2 linked regions of the Nothobranchius furzeri genome follow. The protein of the gene in region 1 interacts with the protein of each later gene in a pairwise test. Links are inferred from orthologs where the notes say so. Each region holds a gene or a part of one and is shown in the gene's direction. Other genes may lie near its edges.

What was found. The genes of interacting proteins can lie anywhere in the genome.
Region 2: the proteins of tprb (region 1) and nup153 interact in a two-hybrid assay, tested with the Homo sapiens proteins (3 studies listed by BioGRID, with this or other methods). The link is inferred for Nothobranchius furzeri from reciprocal best matches to the Homo sapiens genes TPR and NUP153.

Annotation. Positions count from the first base shown.
Region 1 is NC_091748.1:67,351,038-67,355,048, reverse strand, and holds the start of tprb (translocated promoter region b, nuclear basket protein), read left to right. Parts: upstream 1-1,210; 5' UTR 1,211-1,408; coding exon 1,409-1,559; intron 1,560-1,849; coding exon 1,850-1,954; intron 1,955-2,044; coding exon 2,045-2,118; intron 2,119-2,559; coding exon 2,560-2,656; intron 2,657-2,749; coding exon 2,750-2,853; intron 2,854-4,011.
Region 2 is NC_091759.1:104,986-108,935, reverse strand, and holds the start of nup153 (nuclear pore complex protein Nup153), read left to right. Parts: upstream 1-1,150; 5' UTR 1,151-1,184; coding exon 1,185-1,262; intron 1,263-3,522; coding exon 3,523-3,754; intron 3,755-3,831; coding exon 3,832-3,950. UniProt on the Homo sapiens protein: Component of the nuclear pore complex (NPC), a complex required for the trafficking across the nuclear envelope. Functions as a scaffolding element in the nuclear phase of the NPC essential for normal nucleocytoplasmic transport of proteins and mRNAs.

The DNA of each region.
Region 1 (4,011 bases):
ATTCTAACTGAGGTTGTTCAAAGTGCTCTCCATAACAGCTATAACACCTGAGTTTTTCTGGATCCTGAAAGGGTTTTGATGTCATCGTTCACTTTATGCTCACTCTATCGCTCTATCGACATTGTAAGAGTTGATGCAGAACCAAACACATCAGCTCATTGTTTACTTTCATAAAAGCAAATTTCACATTTGTTCAGATGTTTAACCTGAATAAAAAGGGCATATTTTCTTTGTTTGTTTTTTGTTTGTTTGTTTTCTTTTCATTTGGAGCACATGGGTTATAAAATAATGTAAGTTTATAATAATATTAAAGTAACCATTTAAATGTTAAGCTAAAAATGCCAGTATGTAAAAATGGTTAACTTATTATTCCAACATTTGCATATTTTTTTTACTTTTTAGTTTAGCAATTTTCCAATTTATTTGAGTGCTTGTTTCAAACTAAAATATGGTCTATTATACGGTTGACCTGCATTTTGAAAGGTTGAAGCAGTGTTCACAGAAACGTAGCGGTTTCATAGTTACCTGTTAAGTGGCTCATTTTTTCCCACAGATTTCCATTTAATTTTATTGTTGTTTTTTTTTTTACAAAACTGAGCACTTTCTCTTTTGTCTTTCCAGGATGGCCTCCACCATTAAAACACCTTGTTTCAGTTCTAATGTTTTAGGTAACAAAATGTCATGTTGTTTTTGCAGCACCTAAAAGCAACGCATTATATTTCAAACATCAAACTATTTTTTTCTGTCTCCACATTTCATTTAGCCACGTTTTAAAGTTTCGCTTTGATTTATTGGCCCAACACAGCAACTCCACGTTGTTTTCAGTGCATGTTGCGACATCTTTTGGCGGGTATGAGGACTTTCCAGTTACCTTGAGAATATAATACATTTTATTTGACTCACAAAGTACATAAATATGAATTTTATTCCTATTATTTTCAGTTTAATTGTGTTTTTTCTTCCCTTTCTTTTCCAATGTCATGATGTTGATTTTAAAACAGTAAATGTGTATTTCTTTTTATTTATTTATGTATTTTTGGAGACTGGTAAAACGACATTGAAGTTAAAACTCACAATTCATGTAAAAATTAGCAATAAAGAACTCAAGTAAGTAGTTTTTATTGGCATTTCTACATTTGGAACATTTTAGAAACTGTCTAATTTTGTGTGAATTCTGTTCATGTTGGTAAAATGCAAAGTAAGAGCTGAAGTTATGGGGGAAAGTTTACTGAAAGAGTTAAAACATTGTGAATGCAAGTTGTCTTCAAACATAAACGTATTCACAAAGTGACTCTTGTTGTGGTGACCTATAGGGACGACCACCAGGTGACGCTATTTTCCTATCAACGTTGAGAGTCAAGAAAAGAAGTAGAAGAAAACCAATGCGCATGCGCCAGTAGATGCGAAAATGGCGGCACTCCTGGAGCAGGAGTTGGAGGCGTCAGAGATTTCAAAATTACCCAAAACAGTTCAAAGTAAACTAGAGAAAATTCTTTCCGATCGTCTGTATGAAATCGATTCATTGAAAGCACAGCATGAACTGTACCGGGTTAATAGCGGTAAGTTGATTCGGTGGTGCTGAAGTAACCGAAATGTTTTTCAAGGGAGCAAAGTCAGTCAGTACTGTTTATATATAAATACAATTATACAATTGCTGTTATTAGTAAACGAGTTGTGGTATTGTGCTTTAGGTGTAACTTTTTTAAGACTGCCATCGAAAATCTGCTAGAGTCGTTAGCTAACTAGTGCTAGCACGTGCTAATTCCTAAAGCTAACAGAAAACGATACCTGTTATTCTTCAATGAATGTGAAACTAATTCAAGTTTATGGCGCCGTCTACTTTGAACAGAACAACAGTTTTTTGAGAAGGCTGAACAGCTCAGCCAGAGGCAAACAGAACTTTTGTCCCAAACACAAGAACTCCTCAAACTGAAAGAGGAGATCTCCAAACTCGGTAAGAACGACCATGTTGCCGTTTTAGCTGCATTTAAATCGGCTGCGCTGTTTAGAGTTATAATAATCGAGATTTGTCACACTGGTGCAGGTGAAGAGCTCAAAGATGCCCGGGAGAGGAATAGTGAGTTTGAGTCTGTGCAGGAGAGATTGTCATCGGAGCAGGTAATTCAGCAGCACTATAAAATAAACCAGATGTGTAACTGCTTGCTCTAGTCTGTTAGCGTCAACAAAAAATTAATCTAGAAACCAGTGTGATATTCATTCATGTTGTCTATGGTCACACATCTAAAATAAAATCAGTTCAGGCTAATTATAAGTTAATTAAATTATCGTCGCAGTTTACCACTTGATTTTTTTGGGAATCAAATAAACTTTTTACTTGTTTTTACCCAATGCCTTGTGTTCTTTTATTCTAAAACACTTGTGGTCCTTATCTTGAAATGTGCCAATGATACATCATCTATCTTCCTTTAAAAGGAAGATAAATTAAACTAATGAACTGATGAAACTAACATCGGTAAATCAGGGGTCTGATCATGTAAGCAGTGTAAGCCCATTTACGAGCTCCTCACCATGATCTTAACAAGCTGTGTATTTGTTCAGACTTTGCTCACAAAAGTCAAAGAAGACCTGGAGGCAGAAAAACTTGAACTTGTGCGAACGCTGGAGAGGAGGTCCTTGGAAGTGGAACATTTAAATGGTATGCAGACTAATTTCTACCTTTTTTATTAGTTTAGTCATTATAAATGATTATTTGGACATGTCGCTAATGTTGCTGTCATTGATTTGCCAGATGACTTGAGACAGCTCAATGATAAGTTAGTGGATGTCAGCACCTCTAAGATGGCTCTGCAGATGAAGTTAGATGAGCTTGAAGCTGCAGAAATCAACATTAAGGTGAGTTGTGTCATTTTTTTGTTTAAAAATCAGACTTAGGGCTGCTCAATTAATCAGATTTTAATCCCAATTACGATCTGAGTTTTGAACGGTTATAAAAACAAAACAAGCCGATTATTTGCTCCTTCCTCTTGTGCTGCCCCGAATTACAAATCAAGCGCTCATCCCACAGTGTTGCCAACTTAACGACTTTGTCACAATTTCCAACAGCTTTTCAAACCCCCTCTTGACTTTTTAAATCTTAAAAGTACCTAGCAAACACCTCAGGAACATCTCTGGTAACCCTTAGCTACTTTCTAGATAACTGTCGTCGACATTTCCTGCAGGTTAGAAAAACACTCCCCCTGCGCTCCGTACTGTCCTTCAGGACATTAGGAAAGGGAATGATGTAGTGATGTGTCGGTCGCAAAAGAAACGGCTCTCAGAGCCGGCTCCCTGTTGGATTAACCGGAGTGAGTGACACACACACCGTACCTGCAGGCTCCTGAGCCGCTAAAAACAGCTAATTGTGTGTGTGCTGCGCGCTAAACACACGTGCAGCTTGCCCCTGATTGCTGTGAGACTGGGGTGGGGGGTTGCAGCAGCACACCTCTGATCACTGTGGTTGGGACAATTATTACATTAACTGATGGACCTGTAAATAAATAGTTTATAAATAAGGTAGAAATAGATAGAAATAAGTTCCTCACGCTGATGAATAATAATCAATCTCTGATACTGAGAGTTGCTTGTGCACTCTCCTACAGCACCTTGACAGGACTAAATAAATGTAATGCAACATTTTGTGAACATCACTAAACATTTTTTATTTATGTTATAAATGCCACTGTATAATTCTTGCTGTCAGTATTTGCAAGATATTGGTATTTGGGTCTGTACTGTACTAATTTGGGTGTTATTTTTGACAAGGTCACTCAAGAATGTTGGTCCGAAACTGTTTTTATCATTTAAGAAATATCTCCAAACTGCGAAGGTTGGTGTCAAAACATGAACTTGAAATGGTTCTCCATACCTTAATCTCCTCCTGTCCTGTCTAGATTACTGTAACACACTCTTCACATGTTTTAACAAAAAAGCCCTTGATCGCCTTCAGCTGATCCAGAACTCTGCAGCGAGGCTCCTAACTGGAGCAAACAGAAGAGCACACGTCACTCCTAT
Region 2 (3,950 bases), on another chromosome or scaffold:
GAATGCATATTTAAAGTTGCATCAGTGATTTTAAAAATCCAGAATGCTAATAAAAACATTTGTCTGGTTGACTCCGGTTCAGGTTTGAGTGTAAAAGCTAAAATTCAAGGCAATGAAGCTTCATACTACGGAGGAGGATTGGGGCCACTGATAAAGTCATAAGTTTTACAGCTGATTTAAATTTTTTTTTCTTTCAGTGCCCTAATCTTCTTCCGCATTACACACACATGTACACTGGTGGTGTCTGGATTATTTTGTGTAAATATTCAACAAACGGCTCAGAATGTTGAAAGTAAAAACTGTTTTTTGTAGATCTGTTTCACCGTACTCCGTTCCACTTACAACCAGTAAGTGCATCTGCAGAAATGGAATGTAGCCCTTGTTGACCTACTCTTTTAGGTCTGCGATGAAATAGGGAGGGCATTGCCATCTTTAAAAAATAGTTGGCCATCCCTGCCTCGTGACCTGTGGAAGCCCTCTGCCCCACACACACACTCCCTTAAAACACATTTATGTTCACACAAATCATACATTAATCTTTTTTGATCAAGACATAAATAGATGTCAGTACGTTTATTTTGATCGATTGTTAATAAGTAACAATAAATACCGTATTCAATAAATCTGTATTTAAAAATATGCTTGTGCCACAGAACCTCCTCATTTTAATAAAAAGGCATAAATCCCAATAATTTTGTTATGACAGCAATGCGTAAATTAAACTTTTAAAACCGTCAAATAATATGAAACAAGGCCAGTAATAACTGGATTTATTCTGAAATGTTTGTGTTTGTCAATTTTGAAATTATTATTGCCACGGGGACCAATTTGGTGTGCCACCCCAAATTTTCACTGCCCCCCATCTGGCCGCCCCTGTGAAAATTGTTTAGGGGTAGCCAGCTATTATCAGATAAATGAAAACAACATCAATCATTTTTTTTATTTCAAGACTATCTTGAATTCTTTTTTTTTTAAATAAGCTAATAGTTTTCACCCCAGTCTCAATAAATAATAATCCAATAAATAAATGCTGCGCACAGAAAAACGGCTCCATAAAGAGCCCTTGACCTCTTTTGTTATGGTCACTCACTACATTACCCACAATTCATCTGCCGGCGGCCGCTGTGCTGGATGACAGCTATCCGGCGCCGAAACAACGGCAGACTCACTCAGACGACAGAGCCATGGCGGCCACGGGTGGAGGGAAAATTAGAAGCAGGAGATGTCAGATTGCTTCTAAACCTTACGCCAAGAGTAAACAGGTAAATCAAGTGAAAGTTTCCGTGTTAACAGCCTCAGTCGAGCACAGCACAGTGATTGAATTGCCACAATTCTTCAGTTTGTTTTGTTATTGTTTTGTTTGAGACATTTTATGGCCTTCAGTTAGCGCTCGTGGCCTCCACGCGCCGCTAGCATGCCCATGAAATGCTAACAAACTAGCAAGTTGGCTTAAGGTTAGCAAAATTAGACGGACTTGACAGTCAAATAACGACAGTGTATCGTCCAGAAAACTTAGTTAGTTTTTGTTTTAGCTCAGATCCCTACATGAAAAGCTGAGATAATAATTTTGTAAGTTGAAAGTGATTAGCCAAGTTAGCACGAAGCGAGGAAGTAGAATTTCAGCTGCTAATTGGAGCTAACCCACTAGCATCGGCGTACAACGCATTGTCTTTGGTGCTTTTCAACATCGCAGATTCAAGTGACACGATCATTTATTCCGTCGTTACATATTTATTTAAGTACGTGAACGTTTATAATGCAGCTGTACAATAATACCACTGAGGTATTATATAAATGACTAGTGTAAGTCAAATCTCAGCCTGCAGAATTGCGCAAGGAGCGTTGGGTTTATTGGGAACCCACATGGTCCCCCTGAGGGATAATCTACCGCCCTGATGTCAAAGTTGACGTTTTTAAAAGCACTCTAAAATGTAGACATTAGGCAAGACGTGGCTGGGCACTCGGCGGTTTCTCTGATCTGTTTTGTCATCTCTTAAAATTTCCACATAGTGTGTTTATAATAAAATGCTTAAGTCTCTAGAGTTGCAGAAATGATATCTAACTAAGGTCGGTGTATTAATAAATAATTACTTTGTCAGCAGTGTTTTTATGACAAACGTTGTCCGTTAATTATTTAAAATTTGCTAAGTTGACCATAAACAACTCTGCTACATCAAAACATGTGCATCCATTTCCACCTCACTTTAAAACTTGTATGTTCTTATTCTATACAGGCCTGGCACTCATGTTTTTGCAATAAATCAGCCTTTATTGAAATCAAACAAGTACATAAGATGTTAAACATGCAGGTTAGTGGCAGACACAAAGCTGATGGTTGTAGGTTATTGCGCAACCTTGCTGTTTACCACATTATTAGCGTTGTATTATGAGGTGTTACAATTAGAAGAAGTTGCATTATTTTAAACAAATAACGACAAGAACAAGTAAAGTCTAGTTTTGCAAATGCTAATAAACTAAAGATTTGCTGTGGCTTTTTGATTTACATGGTAAGTAAATTAAACATTCAGTTCTTGTGTTAGCAACATGCTTGCTTCTTGCTAATATTTGTGCCATGTCACGAAGATCAGAAAAGTTTTTCTGAAAGTACCCAACTGCACAAGTCATTAATGTTTAACTGTTTGGAAAATTTGGGGTAATACAAAAATGTCAAATACAAATTGCAGCAACCTGAGACGAGCTGCAGAAAATCTGACATCTCTCTGGGAGTTTAAAAGAAGTCCAGTTGCTTTTTGTACAACTTTAATTCACTTTTAATAGAAACATTAAGATTATTAATTTTGACTTGGAAGAAAAATAAATCTGGATTTAACCATGTTTGCAGTTTGCTGCAAGTCACCACAGTTGTTGATGTGCAGCAGACTAGTTGGAGCACATTCTGTTCAACATAGTCTTGTTTTCTTTAGATGAAAGGGAAAAATAAACAAAAGATGGGATAGTGATTTTATAAATGAAATGAAACAAACTCAGTATTTTGGGTTAATCAAAGTGGAATCGTTTAGATGATTCATGAATAGCAGGTTTTCAACCCATCCCTCTTATAGCTAGGCCCGCCATCATGGTACATATGTGACACTAACAGTGGGTAATCCCAGTATGATGTTTACTTATTAAAAAACACCCATAAGGAGGAAACAAATGCCTTCATTCATAATTGTGGCAATGGCAGCATTCAGTTCTGCCAACATGGGTTGGTAATGAGAAACCACACAACGCCCAACTAATAAATCCTGTTTCTGTAAAGCTGAAAAATGTTCTTTAGTTTATTTATTTTTGTAACAACAAAAGCAAGTTTTTATACGCCAAAGTAAAGTTGTTTTGTTTTTCTTTCATTAAAAAATTATTTTCATTTTTGCTGTGTGATTGGTTATGTCTGTTTCTTTTAGGGGACATATACATCTGTAAAACCTGGAAATGTAACAAAAACATGCTTATTATTTTGTTTTTCTACATTCCTTGTATATTCTTTGTCTAACGCCATATTTCTTGTGTCTTGATCTGCAGCAGTCAGGCCTGATTAGTCGAGTGACGGACACGGTGAAGAGCATCGTTCCTTCCTGGCTGCAGAAATACTTTAAGAACGGAGATGCTCCCGAAGGAGGAGAGGGAGGACAACGGACAGACCAGAGCTGCCTGCTGCCACCTCCTCCTCCTCCTCCTCCTCCGAATGGTAATGAAGAAGGACCTCCTTCTTTTGATGGACGGGATTCACCAGAGCCAAGCACCAGTAACACAGGTTAGAAGTTGCTCAGAAACAACATTTTGCTGTTTCTTCTGTCATTCATGATATTAACTTCCCTTTCATTTGCACAGAACCCTCAACAAGTCACGCATCCCTGAACTTTCAGGAGTACGTGCTCTCCCGACCTCCTCTTAGTCGCTCTCACCTCCACTTCAACCCGCTAGATGTGTCCTCCCCTACTTTTGGAGCC